Canis lupus familiaris: one gene and its partners. The protein of the gene in region 1 interacts with the protein of each later gene in a pairwise test. Links are inferred from orthologs where the notes say so. Each region holds a gene or a part of one and is shown in the gene's direction. Other genes may lie near its edges.

Region 1 (3,911 bases):
CCGCAGCTTCCTCCGCCCTCGCTACCGAGTGGCCTACAAGACTGTGTCGGATATGGAGTGGAGGTGCTGTCAGGGGTATGGGGGCGATGACTGTGCTGAGGGTCCCGCCCCAGCGCTGGGTCCTGCACCTACCACCCCACGCCCCCGGCCCCGGCCCGCCCGCCCCAACCTCTCTGGCTCCAGCGCAGGAAGCCACCTGAGTGGACTAGGCGGGGAAGGTGAGTAGGGGAGCCTCTGGGGGGAGAAGTGGGAGCTGGTGCTGGCTGGAAAATGAGGGGCCAGGCTGCTGAGGGAAAAACTCCATGCTCCCAGTCAGAAGAAGGGGACAGAAGGGAGTGAGATCCCTGAGATTCTCTGCCTGCGCATGTGTGTGAATGTGTGTGTGTGTGTGTGTGTGTGTGCGCGAATGTGTGAGTCAGATAGAAACCGAGATTGCGAGAGATCAAGAGAAAAAGAAGGCAGAGCAAGAGAATGTGCTCACACACGCCCACATGTGGCTGAGATACTTCCTACTTGAGAACGGCTGCAGGAGGAAGGGGGAATTCCTTCGAGAAGTTTGGTCACCAAGGGATTAGACAGTTCAGACTACAAGTCCTAGAATGCACTGCACTCAACTACAGGTCCCAGGCCCCTCAGGGGCCTCTGGAGACTGCAGGTCCCAGAATGCAGCGGTCCCCATGGCCTTCCTGCTTGCACGCGCCCTGGGCACTGCGGATGTGCTGTGTTTGTCTGCCAGGGAGATAGTCATGCTGTAATGATGGAAACAGGAACTTCTGGCTGACTCTCCCACTATCCAGCTCGAGCCCCTGCAGCCTTCCCGTGGAACCTTGTCTGTCCCTGTGGTGTTATGGAGAGATGTTGCTCAGGAATAGCCACTGTTGTGGGGTCCACTGTGCCTCCCCATACTCCCATTTCACAGATAAGCAAACAACTTCTGAGACCTACTCTGGACAGTAGACTTGCTGGTCAGATTGATGAGCTGGGTTTGAAACTTGTCTCTGCCACTTATGAAACTTGTAATCTATGGCCAAGTTCCCTAATCTCCTCTGGTTCTCTTTCTCACAGTCAACAAAATGGGAAACGCTGTGATATCTATCCAGTGGAGTCTTATAAGGGAGGGAAAGCCATGGTACAATTTTGGCCTAGAGGCATTTAGTAAATGGAGGTTCCCCCTGTCTTGTCTTTGCCCAAATTACCCAGCTAACAGTGGCCAAATCAGCTAGGACCTCGTGTCGGAGCTGGGGAGAGCAGGGCCTAGGAGGCCTATAGGCCCTGCAAGGAGGGCTCACTGAGTTCTGAGGTCCAGCCACTCTGTCTGATGCCTTCCCCTCTCTGCCAGGTCCTGGGGACTCAGAGAAGGTACAACAGCTGGAGGAGCAGGTGCAGAGCCTGACAAAGGAGCTGCAGGGTCTCCGAGGTGTCCTGCAGGGACTGAGTGGGCGCCTGGCGGAAGACGTCCAGAGGGCCGTGGAGACGGCCATCAACGGGAGGCAGCAGCCGGCAGATGCAGCTGCCCGTCCTGGCGTGCACGAAACCCTCAGTGAGATCCAGCAGCAGCTGCAGCTCCTGGACAACCGTGTCTCCACCCATGACCAGGAGCTGGGCCATCTCAACAACCATCACACCGGAGGTGGCGGTGGCAGTGGCAGTGGCGGTAGCCGGGCCCTGGACCCCGCCCCGGCCCCTCCGGGCCACAGTGAGGAGCTGCTGCGGGAACTGGAGCGGCGGCTGCAGGAGTCCTGCTCCGTGTGCCTGGCGGGGCTCGATGGCTTCCGCCGGCAGCAACAGGAGGATCGCGAGCGGCTGCGGGCACTGGAGAAGCTCCTGGCCTCCGTGGAAGAGCGGCAGCGGCAGCTCCCCGGGCAGGCTGTGGGCCGCAGGCCCCTTCAGGAGTGCTGCCCTCCCGAGCTGGGCCGGCGGCTAGCCGAGCTGGAGCGGAGGCTGGATGTCGTGGCCGGCTCCGTGACAGTGCTGAGCGGGCGGCGAGGCACCGAGCTGGGGGGAGCGGCTGGGCAGGGGGGCCACCCCCCAGGCTACACCAGCTTAGCGTCCCGCCTTTCTCGCCTGGAGGACCAATTCAACTCCACTCTGGGCCCCTCAGAGGAACAGGAGGAGGGCTGGCCTGGGCGTCCTGGGGGCCTGGGCCACTGGCTGCCTGCTGCCCGGGGCCGACTAGAAAGGCTGGAGGGACTATTGGCCAATGTGAGCAGGGAGCTGGGTGGGCGGCTGGATCTGCTGGAAGAGCAGGTGGCAGGGGCTGTGCAGGCATGTGGGCAGCTCTGCTCTGGGGCCCCCGGGGAGCAGGACTCCCAGGTCAGTGAGATCCTCAGTGCCTTGGAGCGCAGGGTGCTAGACAGCGAGGGGCAGCTGCGTCTAGTGGGCTCAGGCCTGCACAAGGTGGGAGCAGCCGGGGAAGCCCAGCAGGCTGCACTGGAGAGACTGCAAGGGGTTGTGGGCCAGCTCCAGGGTCGTGTCGATGCGCAGGACGAGACACTTGCAGAGTTTGCACTGCAGCTGAATCTCACAGCAGCACGGCTGGGCCAACTGGAGGGACTACTGCAGGCCCGTGGGGATGAGGGCTGTGGGGCCTGTGGTGGTGTCCAGGAGGAGCTGGGCCGCCTTCGAGATGGTGTGGAGCGCTGCTCCTGCCCCCTGCTCCCCCCACGGGGCCCCGGGGCTGGCCCAGGTGTTGGGGGACCAAGCAGAGGGCCTCTGGATGGCTTCAGTGTGTTTGGGGGGAGCTCTGGCTCAGCCCTACAGGCCCTGCAAGGAGAGCTCTCTGAGGTTATTCTCACCTTCAGCTCTCTCAATGACTCACTGCATGAGCTCCAGACCACTGTGGAGGGCCAGGGGGCTGATCTGGCTGACCTTGGAGCCACCAAGGACCGTATCATCTCGGAGATTAACAGGCTGCAGCAAGAGGCCACAGAGCATGCTACGGAGAGTGAGGAGCGCTTCCGAGGCCTGGAAGAGGGACAGGCACAGGCTGGCCAGTGCCCCAGCCTAGAGGGGCGATTGGGCCGCCTTGAAGGAGTCTGTGAGCGGTTGGACACGGTGGCTGGGGGACTGCAGGGCCTACGAGAGGGCCTTTCCAGACATGTAGCTGGGCTCTGGGCTGGGCTACGGGAAACCAACAGCACCAGCCAGACACAGGCAGCCTTGCTAGAGAAGCTGCTGGGGGGGCAGGCGGGCCTGGGCAGGCGGCTCAGTGCCCTTAACAGCTCCGTGCTGCTCCTGGAGGATCAGCTTCACCAGCTCAGTCTGAAGGACCTCACTGGTGAGGGGGCACTGGTGCAGTGGGAGGTGGGGGGACCCCTTTCTGGTCCTTTCTTTTTCCTCTCCCCCTCCACAACAGCCAGCCATAACCTTATATACTTTCTCCTTATTCTACCCAGCATGAATTGCAGGCCCACCAATGTCCCGGGGGTTGGTGTGTCCATAAGAGATGATCCAAGCTCCTAGCTCCCCACTCTCCCCTGGCAGCTCAGACAGGACAGTGGTTGGGGGTGGGGTGCTGCCCTGCCAGCCAGGTATCCAGCATGGGCAGCCCCATGGGCCCCATGCACCTGCCCATGGAGCCACAACCTTCTTTGTCCTTTGGAAACTGTTTTTATGGCTTCCCTTCAACTTAATTTTTATCACCGTAGGGCCCCCGGGTGAGGCCGGGCCCCCAGGGCCTCCTGGGATACAGGGACCCCCAGGCCCTGCTGGACCTTCAGGACCTCCAGGCAAGGATGGACAAAGAGGACCCATCGGGCCACCAGGTATGTGAGCTGAGATCCATACTGCAGTCAGGGCTCCCCCACATCTCTAGCAGCCCTAGGCTTGACATTCGTTCCATTCTGGATTTGAAAGAGAAAGGAGGAAAGGGGCAAGGAGTGAGGGGTCCTACGTGGCTGACAGTGATGAGG
Region 2 (3,589 bases), on another chromosome or scaffold:
TTATTTAATGAGTAAATAAAGAGATATTTTTAGACCGAAGATTTATTTTTTATTTTTTTAATTTTTATTTATTCATGATAGTCACACAGAGAGAGAGAGAGAGAGAGGCAGAGACACAGGCAGAGGGAGAAGCAGGCTCCAGGAACCGGGAGCCCAACGTGGGACTTGATCCCGGGTCTCCAGGATCGCGCCCTGGGCCAAAGGCAGGCGCCAAACCGCTGCGCCACCCAGGGATCCCAAGATTTAGTTTTTAGCCCTTGAATGAGATTTTAACGCAATAGGAGTCTTCGGAAATCCTACGTGCTTTTTTTTTTTTTTTTTTTCCAATTAAAGTGTTTTTCGGAGAGGGGGGATCTGTGCGTCTCCCCAGGCTGGTTTTTTTTTTTTTTTTTTTTTTTTTTTTTTTATGATAGTCACAGAGAGAGAGAGAGGCAGAGACACAGGCAGAGGGAGAAGCAGGCTCCATGCATCGGGAGCCCGACGTGGGATTCGATCCCGGGTCTCCAGGATCGCGCCCTGGGCCAAAGGCAGGCGCCAAACCGCTGCGCCACCCAGGGATCCCCCCAGGCTGCTTAATGGGGTTGTTCACCACGGAGTGAGGACCCTCCCGCCCCAAGCGGTCCGAAATCCCAAGCCTGTCATTTGGCGGAGCTGCCACCAGGGGGCGGGGCGACAAAAGGAATGTGCGCTCGCAGGGGGGTGGGGGTGGGGAATCCCCGGGGAACTGAGGGGCCGCGAACTAGGAGGCCCCAGGCCCCCTGGCGCTCAGTTCTCCCCTCCTGGGTCGCTGCGGGCTCCTTGGGATGTGACCAATGAAGCAAGACTCCGCACCGCCCTCGCGCCCCGCTCCTCCCTGCTCCCCCCTCCCCCCCTCCTCCCTGTTCCCCCCTCCCCTCGCTTCTCCCCGCTCCTCCCCCTTCCTCCCCGCTCCTCCCCGCTCCTCCCCGCTCCTCCCCGCTCCTCCCCCTTCCTCCCCGCTCCTCCCCCTTCCTCCCTCTTCCTCCCCCTTCCTGCTCCTCCCCGCTCCTCCCCCTTCCTCCCTCTTCCTCCCCTTCCTCCCTGCTCCTCCCCGCTCCTCCCCCTTCCTCCCCGCTCCTCCCCTTCCTCCCTCTTCCTCCTCCTTCCTCCCCACTCCTCCCTGCTCCTCCCCCTTCCTCCCCGCTCCTCCCCTTCCTCCCTCTTCCTCCTCCTTCCTCCTCGCTCCTCCCCGCTTCTCCCCGCTCCTCCCCCTTCCTCCTCGTTCCTCCCCGCTTCTCCCCGCTCCTCCCTGTTCCTCCCCGTTCCTCCCCGTTCCTCCCCGCTCCTCCCCGCTCCTCCCCGCTCCTCCCGCCTCCCTGCGCCCCTGCCCGGCTCCCATCTCTGGTTCCAGACGGTGGAGAAGACGGTGGAGCATCTGGAGGCCGAAGTGAAAGGCTTGCTGGGTCAGCTGGAGGAGCTGGCCTGGAACCTGCCCCCGGGGCCCTTCAGCCCCACGCCCGACCTCCTCGGAGACGGTGAGCTGCTGGCCTGGCAGAGGGGACAGCCTCGGGCTGGGGATGGGTGCCCGCCGGGGCGGAGGGGACCGGCACCCCCAGCTCAGCCCCACCTGGGCACTGCAGCCTGGCACCTGGTCGGGCTTCTGGAAGAGCTGGTGCAGGTTGCCCAGGGCCCACTTCACACCCTCCGGACACGGAGCTGCTGCCTCGTCCCCGGGCCATGTGCCCCCCTTAAAGCTCTTGGGCTCCTTTCAGGTCCCTTGCAAGAAACCCCTCCTGCGCCACTACAAAACCCTCTAATGGGCATCAGGGGGGCTGCCTCCGCTCCCTCCCTGTGCCCTGTGATCCCTGGCATGGGAGTTGGGGGGGCACTGGGAGGGGTGGGGGAGGGCAGGGGACTTTCAGTGCCCCTGAGCTGCCCCTTCCCTTTCAGATCACTTTGGAGCACTGGAGCCAGAGCCACCCAGCAGCTGGAAGTGACACCTTGTGGAACAGCCATCCTCTGAGAGCAGAACCCTGCATCCTGGCCTGCCTTCCTCAACTTTGTGCAAAATTAGAGCTACTCCCTTGGTCCCCGCTGCATCCGCTGCCCGTGACCCCTATAGCCACAGCCCCTTCTTCATCCAGTCCCACCCTTGAGGCTACAGCCTCCTGCAGGTGCAGACCTGCAGACCCTCGGGGGGGGGGGTGTGCTTCTGCCCTCCTCATTTATAGGGGCACACAGGGTGGAGTTGGTTCACAGGTGAGGCAGCTGAGGCCCGGGATGGTATGGTGACAGGTGCACACGCCCTCAGAGTAGCCTCCCCACTCAAAATGTGGCCACTGATGAGCAGCAGTGGCATGACCTGGGAGCCCGTCAGAAATGCAGAATTGTGGGGCCCAACCCAGACCTCCTGATCAGGATCCACGGTCCAGTGAGATTCCCCAGGGCATAGATGTGCAAATTTGTGTGCAATTTTTTACAGTTCCCTACTGAGGTATAATTCACACAACATAAATTTCAAAATGTTTAACCATTTAAAACCACATAAAGTCAGTGGCTTCACATAGTTGTACGCTGATTCCAGAACATTTTCATCATCCCCCAAAGAAACCCCGTACCTATAAGCAGTCACTTCCCATTCCTCCTCCCACCATCCCTCAGATATGCTTGTCTCTATGGACTTGCCTATTCTGGACATTTCATATAAATGGAATCATACAGTATGTGGCCTTTGTGTCAAGCTTTTTTCTCCACTGAGCATAGTGTTTTCCATGTCGGAGCACGATCACTGCTTGATTCCCTTTCGCAGCTGGTGATAGTCCGTCGTATGGCTGTGCCACATTTTACTCAGGCATCAGTCGATGGCCATTTGGCTTGTTTGCACGTTCTGGCTATTATGAATAGTGCTATGAATATTAGGCACAAGTTTTTGTGGGGACATGTTTTCTTTTCTCTTGGGTCTATAACTAGGGATGGAATTGCTGAGTCAAACACGGATTCCATGTTTAAGTTTCTAAGGAACCACCAGACTGTTCTCTATACCACTTTACGCTCCCACCAACAGTATGTATTTAAGGTTTTTGATTTTTCCACATTTCACCAGCTGTCCTTTTGATTATAGCCATCATACTAGGTGGGAAGTGGTAACTCACTGTGGTTTTTTTTTTTTTCCCACTATGGTTTTAAGTTGCATTTGTCTAATCATGATGAGCATCTTTGCTTGTGTTTTCTTGGCCATTTGTCTTTTTTGGAGAAATGTCTATTCAAGTCCTTTGCCCATTTTTAAAACTGTGTTGTCTTTTTGTTGTTGAGTGGTTAAGAGATCTTTATGTATTGTGGATACATAAAGGCTTTTATCAGATCTATGACTTGCAAATATTTTGTCCCATTCTGTGGACTGTCTCTATACTTTGACAGTATCTCTCGAAATACAAAAGTTTAATCTTGATGAAGTCCTATTAACTATTTGTTGTTGTTGTTTCCTATGCTTTTGGTGTCATATCAGAATCCATTGCCAAATCCAAGGTCATGAATATTTATTCCTGTTTCCTTCTAAGATTTTTATAGCATTAGCTGTTACCTTTAGTTCTTTGATCTACTTTGGATTGTTTTTTGTATATGGTGTGAGGTG
Region 3 (5,060 bases), on another chromosome or scaffold:
GACAACAGCAAAGCATTCAGCCACTGTGAAAAATAAAAATCCTCTTGCTAAACTTTATATCCAATAGTTAAATCATAGTGCTTTCCTACTTTCAAGGGATTCTTTCTATGTAATTCTTAATTTTCATAAAAGCTTTTTTTGTATTGCTATAAAAGCTTAGAGCAATACAGCCTACTGAATGAAAAGCAACTAGTTAGCCTTACTAGTGGATGCATTCAGTCAACAAATATTCACTAATCACCCACTTTGTACAAGGAACTTTATAAGTCATTGGGTCTGCAAAGTAGAATAAAGCAGATATGTTTTGGGCCCTCATGGATTTTAAAGAAAAGTGGATTCAGCTAAGGAAAGAATTATGCTCTGCCTATTCTTCAAATCTTGTTAGAAACCATCTAATAATGGTAAAAAAAGAGCCAGCTTTTATTGAAAATTTATTAGGTTCTGTGGTAAGTACTTAATATATGTAATTTACTTCTACAATCCCTGTTTCACAGAGGAAGCACAAAGACCTTGAAAAGTAATTGACCCAAAGCCACACTTCAAGTATGTAGCAGATATGATTTAAACCCAGATATGCCTGATACCACAGCTCATGCTTTCAATAAGCATCCTTGCAGCCAGTGTCATTAATAGAACTATCTGCATGAAGAGTTGCAAACTGTGAAACAGAATTCAAGAATCACTACTCCTTTAAAAGACAATTTTGGGTGTGATTGAGCTTTTGGAACTTGTTAAAAAGAAAACCACAGGCCCCAAATGGCATCACTTTGGTTAAGGCCCCAAGTTAGTAGCAAACCAAGTTAATATCTAACCTAACTGCAGTTTTGACCACCTAGGAATGTAACCTTTAACTAGTCAGCATCAGTAAGGTAATTCTGTCACATGAACCCTCTGCATTCCACCAAAGCAAAATCAGGTAATCCATGTACGAACCCTCATGTCTCCAAATGAAGGTAACTACAGGTGAAATAATCCTTTTTTTTCTGTTTATGACTTCCTTGTCCTGCCCTTAAAAACCTTTCCTTTCCTGTAGTCTTTGTGGAGTTCTCCTCCACTTGCTAGATGGGATGCTTCTTGATTCATGGATCATTTAATAAATTCAATTAAATCTTCAAATTTACTTGGCTGAATTTTGTTTTTTAACAAGCTATACCTCAAAATATCTTCAAAGCATAAAAAGCTCAAACTATGTATGCACTAGGCATATATTCTTCATTTATTCAATGTCCCAGCTAATTTAGCAGGGTAGGAGATTACACAGGAGTTTGGAACCCAAACCAGAGGCAGTAAGCATTTGTCTGGCCTGTCTTGCTTCAGTGCATATAACTCTTCTGGTTCCTTTATCACAACCAACGCTTACTAAATTTTTTTTTATTATGAATGCCGCTTTCCTAAAGACATCTGTTTTCTAACTATGATAAAATCTGTTTAGTTACTTTAAAGTGGAGACAGGAACATTTACACTCCAGGTGAATTTCAGTCTCAAGTTTAGTTGCTTCATATACACCCTGTTTATTTCTATTATTTTTTGAAACATTTACATCAAAAGGCAGATGGCTTTGGAACTAACGTCTGCATATGGTATACTTGTGATCATTCTACGAAGATATTTGTTAGGGGAGGTTTTTGAAAGTTTGTAAAGGAAAGCAGGGTGTAAAAAGGCTCCTTTTCTTCAAAGACTATGGTATCAAAAACATCGCAAATTTACATTAAAAGGCCAATATCTGACAACTGGACTTCTCCCTAAAGATTTACTTTACAGATCATTTTGAAAATACCAACTATGTTCATAAAGATGCCTCTTTTTTTTCAAAATAGAAATTTGAAACAAGATATGTGTTTCAAAAGCGATATTAATGTCATGTGGAACTCAGAGAAGATATTTTGTGTGATACGAGCATAATTTTTAAAAATGAGGCTTTTTCATCCCGCAAGATGAAGCATTTCTTTCAAAAGTGAAATCTCGCAATTTTTAATTTTTTGAGGCATGCTGGTTTTTTTTAAAAAAGGAAATGAAAGAGAAATTCTTTGGAAGAATTCACTCTGTCTCCTTGCCTCTCTAATAGGACTCCTGCTCCCTTCCCACCCCAGCCTTCATTCTAAATTTCCTGGAAGGATCTGAATTCAGGGGACGCAATGGGCAACGGTGGTGGCGCACCTGAGGGTGGATGAGGGAAAGAGGGGGTGCGGCCAGCGAGAAAGGAAGAGAAAGCGAAACAACTCAAACTCAAGGCCTGGGGCGGGAGTGGGAGGGATGAAGGGTATTGCAGACCCTCCCGGGTAACCTGAGAAGTTACCTTCCTGAGAAGTTTACACTCCCTCCGCTGGGAGGTGAGGCGTTTTTCGGGCCTCAAATTGTAGAGGACCAAGCTGAGTGACACGGCGGTGCGCGCTGGGGCTCAGTGCAGAAACCGGCTAAGGGGGTTGCCTACGCCTGTGCGTGAGGCGAGGCGTGGGGGCGGGTAGGCGCGCCGCACAAGCAGCTAGATTTGGGGGGCGAGCTCCATGGTGACGTGAGGCGCTCACGTGACGTGGAGCTGCAGAGCGACGCAGCCTTCGGTGCAGTCGTCACTCCCGTCTGGGTACCTGCTCCCCGGTGTCCTGCGCCCCGCGGGCTGGCGTCAGGCCCGAGGAAAGCGGAGCAGGTAAGGGCTCCGGGGCCGGTGCGCGAGGCCAGGGCGGCAGCGGTCCGCCTACTTTCGAAGCTGGCTCATTGGATCAGCGCAGCAGCTTTCTCCACCCCCGGCATTCTTGGGAACATCCGTAGTGGCCCCCTGGGGTGGGGGTGCTGGGGCGGCTGGGTGGGCAGCAGAGCAACTAAGAGCAACTGGAAATCACCCCCGAGTACCTGCAGGAAAATAGTGAACCTTCCGGGCGGGGTGGGGGGACGCTAGGGTTGAGAGCCGGAGATGGGGTTTAAGGGGGCGGCCAGGGGGGCCCGGGACCCGGAAGGAACCAGGTGGTGGCAGGTCGGCGCCAAACGCTTCGCAACACCCCCCCTCCCTCCACGCTGGCCCTTTGCAGGACTGCGAGCCTAGGTGTCAACTGTCGCAGCGACGCCCACACGGCGAGAATCGGGAGAAGGAGGAGACAGCAAGGATAGGCCCAGGTCGGTGCGGGGGACAGAGTGGGGGTCGGGTGCAGAGCCGAGTTTGTGACTCCTCCCATGTACGTCATCCCCTGTCCCCCACCTCCATTTTGGTGCCTGCGGAGCTTGGGGAAAGAATCCTGGGAAAGGAAAAATGGTGGGCTTTGGGGGAGGGAGGGTAAAGGAGAGAGCGGGAGGGAGGGGCTCGATTCGGAGGCCCCCTAGAGGACGCCTGAAGCTCCTAAGGTGGGAATTTTTTTTTTTTTAAACGTTAGGTACCAGATCTCTGGAGCCTGCTGCTCAGTACACCAAGCTTTCAGTCTCTCTCCTTGCCTTTGTCTTATTTGTGTTCAAAGAAAACCAACCAGGAAAAAAAATCTCATGGCAAATATCCACCAGGAAAACGAAGAAATGGAGCAACCCATGCAGAATGGAGAGGAAGACCGCCCTTTGGGAGGGGGAGAAGGCCACCAACCTGCAGGAAATAATAGACGGGGACAGGCTCGTCGACTTGCTCCTAATTTCCGATGGGCCATCCCCAATAGGCAGGTCAATGATGGGATGGGTGGAGATGGGGATGATATGGAAATGTTCATGGAGGAGATGAGGGAAATCAGGAGAAAACTTAGGGAGCTGCAGTTGAGGAATTGCCTGCGTATCCTGATGGGGGAGCTCTCTAATCACCATGATCATCATGATGAATTTTGCCTTATGCCTTGACTCCTGCCATTTTCCATGAGATTAATACTGTGACTCACATTGTTTTTTTTTTTCCTTGCCTTTTCCTGATAACCTTTACTGATCCATTTGCTGTGAACCGCATGTAATTTCCATGTGTCAGGTGGGTTCTGTATTACCAGATTCCAAATGGGGATTGCCTTGGCACTCAGTCTAAGTTTCTGTCAACAGTAGAGTCACCCAATTGCATGGAAAAGTGTAAAGTTAATAAAGCAATTAAAAAGCAATCTATACATTTATTATTGTCTCATTTAAAAGCATATGTATAATATGACCCCCCCTCAAAAAATCAGAAATCAGATGCTCCAGGGTGTTAATTGGGTCACGTTTCTCTGTAGTTGAATACTATGTAACTTTTTTCTTTTTATTATCTGAAGTTTTAGTAGCAAAAACAGTTTTTCAAGGAGTGTAAATATAGTATAGGTATATAATACTGGTTCAACAAACTTTAAGAGTCAACTTTAAGAATTTTCCAGTTTTAACTGGATGAATAAACCCTCCGTTTGTTACAGGTACATTGCTTTTAAGAGTCAATCTTCTTTCCTGTGAGGAGGAATAATGCTTGCCTTCCAGGGCAGCTGAGTGGAATAGATGAGGTGTGAAACTGTTGGGCTGCCTCCTATCCAGGTCTGTCAGGTACTTGGGAAGGACTAAAGGGAGTTTTCACCATGCTGACAAGCCCAAAGGGCAAAAATAGATGGCTTCCACCTTGTCATTCCTCTGATATTTGCAGTACTTCTCCCCTGATTATTGCCGTGTCAGGTGTACTTTCCCTTCTGGGTTCTGATTCTGTCCTCAAGGTAAGAAAAGTGCATTGATTTCTCTTGAGTCCCTAGTGAGCTAAACCCTGTCCGGTTTGACTCCTGTAGAAGTCTGGAGCAGATCTTTCTCCCCACTTTAAAGTTATATTTATCCAAGTGAGTACCATTCACATGGTTCTTTGTCTTTTGTTGGTTCCTAACAAAATAGCCCTTTTTGGTATTATTTTTGTGCCCCTCTTCTCCAAAGAACTCACACAAATGCACTGGGGTCTAGCTTAGGAGACATATCTAGATGTCTCACCCTGGTGTGTCTAGAATTGCACTACTTCAAACCTCCAAAACGCAAATAGGCTGAAAGCTTTGTTTTGCCTGTGTCTTTACCCTTTGGGGCTATTTTCTCAAAAGAGAGTCTGGGCAGGCCTACCCAACCAGTTTAACAGACTTACCCAGAAGATGTCTAAATTATATTGGGA
Region 4 (5,414 bases), on another chromosome or scaffold:
ATGACAACGGAAAGCATCCATAGTCATCTCAAGGACAGTCCTAGGAATTTAATTTAATAAATATCAGTATTTTAAAAACTATGTATAAAGAAGTTCAGTCAACTTTGTTTCTCATAGTGAAATCTACAAATAGCCCAAAAGTACATAAATATTGGAATGGATGTGTCTGTATTATCTTCATTTGAAAGGAAAATATTTGGACTGAATTGGAGTAAAATGTGAATAGTACATTTCTTTTTTAAAAAAATTTTTTTTATTTATTTATGATAGTCACAGGGAGAGAGAGAAAAAGGCAGAGACACAGGCAGAGGGAGAAGCAGGCTCCATGGACCGGGAGCCCGACGTGGGATTCGATCCCGGGTCTCCAGGATCGCGCCGTGGGCCAAAGGCAGGTGCCAAACCGCTGCGCCACCCAGGGATCCCAAATAGTACATTTCTTGAGGCTGGAATAAATCTTATATTGTCCTTCTACTTTGTCTGTATTTAATTTTACTAATTTTACCGAGGACTTTTTATGGTATCTTGGGAGCTTGCTCAACCCAGGCTTAGGACAACCTTGAACTGTCAGAGATGTTAACATTCCTCAGGGTAATATCTACCAATAAATAACCCAGGCCTGTGGATAAACACTCCAGTTTCCCATCACTAAATGGGATAATTCTGAGGGGCGTTCTACATGCTTTAAACTTAGAGGGTCCCCAGCAGGATTGAGCCAGTTGCCTTTGGCCATGTCTGACTCTGGTGCTATACATTTTTTAATTAATTAAATTATTTATTTGAGTGAGACAGAAATCGTGACAGAGAGAGAGCAAAAACAGGGAGGAGAGAGAGAAGCAAGCTCCCCACTGAGCAGGGAGCTCCACACCTGGCTCAATCCCAGGACCCTGAAATCACGACCTGAGCTGAAGACAGACGCTTAATCAACTGAGCCACCCAGGCGCCCCTGGTGCTATATTTTTAATGAACGTTTTCATCCTAGGATTATATACAAAATAACATTTGTTATATACTATTTTCAATGGTTTCACGTCCTTTAATCTAGATATTTCATGTCTGTATTTAACAGGAAAAAGACACTTCAATATTTTTTCTGAATAGCTGACCAATGATCTCAGCACCATTCCTTCAGTAATCTAACCTCTCCCTGCTAATTCCAAGTATTTCAATCAGATTTCTAATATTTCTCCATATTTGGGATTGATAATGGCCTTCTCTACTATTTATTTGTTCTATATTTATTCTGCCATAATATTGTTTTTTTTTAAATTTTTATTTATTTATGATAGTCACACAGAGAGAGAGTGAGGCAGAGACACAGGCAGAGGGAGAAGCAGGCTCCATGCACCGGAAGCCCGACGTGGGATTCGATCCCGGGTCTCCAGCATCGCGCCCTGGGCCAAAGGCAGGCGCTAAACCACTGCGCCACCCAGGGATCCCTATTCTGCCATACTATTGTGTTAATATTATAGCTTCACAATACTCTGTATCTGTCAGCATAACTTTCCCAAATTATTATTCTGGATCGTTGGAAGACCTCAGTGCTGTTCTATTTTAGAGGCCATGGTAGAGTTTTGTAAAGTGAATTTGCAGTAATATAATTTAGGAGAGACCGTAAGTTTGTCACAGGCTCTCCAGATAGGAAAATCCACCAGCAAGACTCAGAGCCTCACCTCCTGGGAAGACCTCACAGAGACCCTTCACAAAGGCAACCATCAGCTTAGGTTTTTAATTTAAAGTCCTTAAAAGGGAGATGATGTCTGAAGGGTCTGTACTATTAGGGTGATTCTGCAGGAGAAGGAGGTTATCAAGACTTTACAACTCGAATCCTACTTTTCAACTGAAAATAATTGTATTGTCTAATTATAACAACCAAAAATGGAATGCATGCTAATGGGAAACAAAAAAATTAATCATCCTTTCCCTTAAAAAAATAAAATAAACGGAAATAAAGTAAAAAATAATTATGTCACTTTCTGTGTATTTTCCAGACTTCCTTCCATTGCTGTTAAGGGTAATTTTGGGTTTTATTTGCTGGGGAGTTGGACAGGAGAGAAGTGGGCAATTAAAGGTTTAAAAAAGAATTATTTCAAAGCTGCAGCAGAAATCAGGGGAAAGGCAAATATAAACTACAAAATATCATGATGCATTTGGTTTTAAAGACTTCTAAACAGGAAAAAAACATAGAGATGGGTTGTAGTGGGGAGAAGGCAGGGATGAAGAAAAAGGTGGCCCCGCCCACACTCCCGCCCCCACCCTCTTGCCGCAATGCAGGTGGGAACCATAATTGGGTATCTGAGCTCAGAGTGACGTGGCCCTTACGAGACCTGGAGCTGACGCGTGGGTTAGCGTCTCCTCCTAGTTGCAGTCTGGTTGTCCTTTGTGGCTGTGCGCCGGCACGCTATTGCCTTGAAGGCAGGCGAGCCTGTAGCACCGGGAAGGAGGAAGTCGTAGAAGCTGACCCTGATCGGTTGCAGGTTAGTGGGCGCTGACTGGGGTGGCAGAGGGCTAAGACCGGAGAGGGATTGGATTCTCTCGACCTTTTTACCCAATACCCATTTATATGGTGCAAGAAATGGACGGCTTGGTGGGAGGAGATCGAGAGGGGCCAAGAGTTGGAAATGGGTACCAGTTAGGATGTCCTAGGAGTGCAGATCTCTTGGGCGATCCGGCGTCTGGAAGGGAAGAGCCAGGGCAGGGGACAGCGAGGAAAAAGCCTGATTGTTGCAGGGCGACGGGACGGGGTTGCAACCATTGACCCTGGGGATGACGGACTCCGCCACGGGTCTAGGCCTCGGTTCCGGAATCGGTTCTCCACCTCCGTCCATTTTGGAGCGGGAAATGGTGGGCTGCGGCAAACGGGGGGGAGGGGGTGGAGATGATGGTTGCTGCAGAGGATATGGACAGGGATTAGGTCCGGGAAACACTTCCCTTCTGCGGAGGAGGTAATCGAGAGGAAGCTTTCTGACTCAGGGATCTGGTCGGGAGCAAGAAAGGTGTAAGCCTGGGCGCTGCCTGCGGACCCTGGGGTAAGCAAGACAAAGCGCTTAGACATCAGCGGGTCCAGGTTTGCAATACCCACGCTACCTCTTCGCTCTTCGTCCATTTTGATTCATAAAATGGTGGGCAGTGAAAGGAGGGTGAGTTCCAGAAAGTCTAATGGGCCCCAACTACATTGAAATTTTTTATAAATAAACCAGGTCACCATCCAGCAAGCTGTTTTGACTCCCCTGCCCAGCAAGTTGTCCATTTGCATTCAAGAAATGCTAATCAGGTGACGGGAGGGCTGAGGCGGAGGTAAAGGGGCCTAAAGAAGAGGTGAAACTGGTTGGAAATAATAATCTTTGATTACAATGCCTATTTCTGGAGGGCGGAGTAGTGCATTGCAGGACAGGAGAAGAAACCGTGATACAGGATGGAGGAAAAAGAGAAGGTGGCAACCTTTGATTAACGGATTCCTAAATCAGCAACAGAGCAGGTGCCCCCCAATACTGGTCCTTTAATCAAGTGAACAGTCCTGGCCATCGTCGCATTTTTGTCTGCAGGTCTCTGGGTCCGTTGGTGCAGCAGATTTCAAAGCAAAGAGAAAACGACTACTTCTGAGCCTGCAGGTAAGTGGCTGCTTGGGGTCCTCTGGTTTAGGGTTTATCGGGGATCATGACAGAATCTGGGAAACTCACTGCCCTTCCAGCCGGAGTTAAAGTGCAAGAGGTGCAAGGAGTGGCCTAAGGAAAAATTGATGGGGAAAATGGTGAGCTTTGGAGCTGGGCTGGGTCTGGGGCGTCCCCTAGAGGGTGCACGAAGTTTCTCAGATGAGAGAAAACCTTTTCTGACAGAGCTCTGACTCCTGTTGTTACAAAGTATTACATCCTTTTTCTTGCTTTTTATCTCCTAGGAAGAGTAAGCAGGAAAAAAATCTCAACATGGAAAATGTCCCCCAGGAAAGCAAAGGAGAGGAGCAGGCTCCAATGCAGAATGAAGAAGCCCACCCTTTGGAAGGTGGTGAAGGCCAGGAGCCTGGAGAAAATATTAGAGCCGATTGGGCCCCGCCTGCCCATGATGTGAGAGAGGATATGCCCAATAGGCTTGTCAATAACCTTGACATGATAGATGGAGATGCAGATGATATGGAACGGTTCATGGAGGAGATGAGAGAGCTAAGGAGGAAAATTAGGGAGCTTCAGTTGAGGTACAGTTTGCGCATTCTTATAGGGGATCCCCCTCACCATGACCATCATGATGAGTTTTGCCTTATGCCTTGAATGCTGAGGTTAGTAATAATAAACTCCCTGCCTCCCAAAGTTGCATTTTCTTTATGTACCCTTTACTGTGAATCTGTGATGTTCTGTAATTTTTCTGATTGGAGAATTCATTTGACTTAGTCTGAAAGTTTTTCTGTCAGCGGGGGAGTTTCACCAACTTGCATGGAAAGATGTTTAGTACATAGTGTGAAGGTAATAAAGCAGTTTAAAAACCAGTCTATAAATACACTATCTCATTTAAAAGCATGCATAATATATGTGTGTGTATCAGAATGTTTCTTCTTTAACTTTTCTTGATTACTTATTTTTTCTCATTTTTCCAAAATGAATACATATGTATTATACATGTCAGGCAAAAAGTAAGAGGCAAAGAACTTGCCAATTGACTTATAAAGGGAATGGAGACAATCATTAAATGCTTCAGACACAATTTAAAGACACATGAATCTTCTATTACCTCTTATAATATAATCTCTTACTTGGAAGCACGAACCTGGTCATTATTACAGATATGTTTCTTTATAGTCAGCCTATTAATCTATGAATGAAGATAACATGCACACTCTCTAGGTGCTCTTCATATTTAGAGAAGGGCCCAAAAAGTATGTCTATCATCAAGTCTAAATGCCAAGTGGGTGACACCTTTTTTTTTAAGATTGTATTTGTTTGAGAGAGAGTACAAACGGGGAGGGGCAGAGGGACAAGTAAGTAGACTCCCTGCTGAACAGGGAGCCCAGCATGGGGCTCCACCCCTGGAGCCTTAGCTGGTCAGACACCTGACTGAGCCACCTAGGCACCCCTGGGTGACACCTTTCTATACTTAGGCTTCTGTGTCTCCCTTCTCTAGATAATGCCTTGACTGCTAAGCACTCTTTCCCCTTCTCCCTTCCTTTTGGCTCCCTGTGCTGGTCCCCACCACTACTGATGTGCTAGAGTACTAAAGGTGACAAAGACCTACTGATTTCTCTTGAACCATCAATGATCTGAATTCCCATTTTGCCCTTTCAGAAATGTGGAGAATGCCCTTCCTGCTTTGTAGTTATTCTTAATCCAAGCGAGTACTCCCCCAGTGCTGCTTAGGGATCCAAATAGCCCTTTTGTTTTTTCTCAGACTTTCTTCTTTATCCCCTAATAAAATCTGAGTGACATTCATTA

What was found.
Region 2: the proteins of EMILIN1 (region 1) and PLAC9 interact in binary tests that used the Homo sapiens proteins (3 or more experiments, as listed by UniProt). The two-hybrid records come from large-scale screens. The link is inferred for Canis lupus familiaris from reciprocal best matches to the Homo sapiens genes EMILIN1 and PLAC9.
Region 3: the proteins of EMILIN1 (region 1) and BEX3 interact in binary tests that used the Homo sapiens proteins (3 or more experiments, as listed by UniProt). The two-hybrid records come from large-scale screens. The link is inferred for Canis lupus familiaris from reciprocal best matches to the Homo sapiens genes EMILIN1 and BEX3.
Region 4: the proteins of EMILIN1 (region 1) and BEX5 interact in binary tests that used the Homo sapiens proteins (3 or more experiments, as listed by UniProt). The two-hybrid records come from large-scale screens. The link is inferred for Canis lupus familiaris from reciprocal best matches to the Homo sapiens genes EMILIN1 and BEX5.

The regions. Positions count from the first base shown.
Region 1 is NC_049238.1:21,138,220-21,142,130, forward strand, and holds part of EMILIN1 (EMILIN-1), read left to right. Parts: coding exon 1-218; intron 219-1,339; coding exon 1,340-3,277; intron 3,278-3,647; coding exon 3,648-3,764; intron 3,765-3,911. UniProt on the Homo sapiens protein: Involved in elastic and collagen fibers formation. It is required for EFEMP2 deposition into the extracellular matrix, and collagen network assembly and cross-linking via protein-lysine 6-oxidase/LOX activity.
Region 2 is NC_049225.1:30,002,735-30,006,323, reverse strand, and holds the end of PLAC9 (placenta-specific protein 9), read left to right. Parts: intron 1-1,369; coding exon 1,370-1,493; intron 1,494-1,908; coding exon 1,909-1,955; 3' UTR 1,956-2,681; downstream 2,682-3,589.
Region 3 is NC_049260.1:77,301,326-77,306,385, forward strand, and holds BEX3 (protein BEX3), read left to right. Parts: upstream 1-2,292; 5' UTR 2,293-2,645; intron 2,646-3,024; 5' UTR 3,025-3,109; intron 3,110-3,363; 5' UTR 3,364-3,469; coding exon 3,470-3,808; 3' UTR 3,809-4,057; downstream 4,058-5,060. UniProt on the Homo sapiens protein: May be a signaling adapter molecule involved in NGFR/p75NTR-mediated apoptosis induced by NGF. Plays a role in zinc-triggered neuronal death.
Region 4 is NC_049260.1:76,328,314-76,333,727, reverse strand, and holds BEX5 (protein BEX5), read left to right. Parts: upstream 1-2,281; 5' UTR 2,282-2,474; intron 2,475-2,910; exon of another isoform or gene 2,911-3,026; intron 3,027-3,542; 5' UTR 3,543-3,608; intron 3,609-3,892; 5' UTR 3,893-3,920; coding exon 3,921-4,259; 3' UTR 4,260-5,411; downstream 5,412-5,414.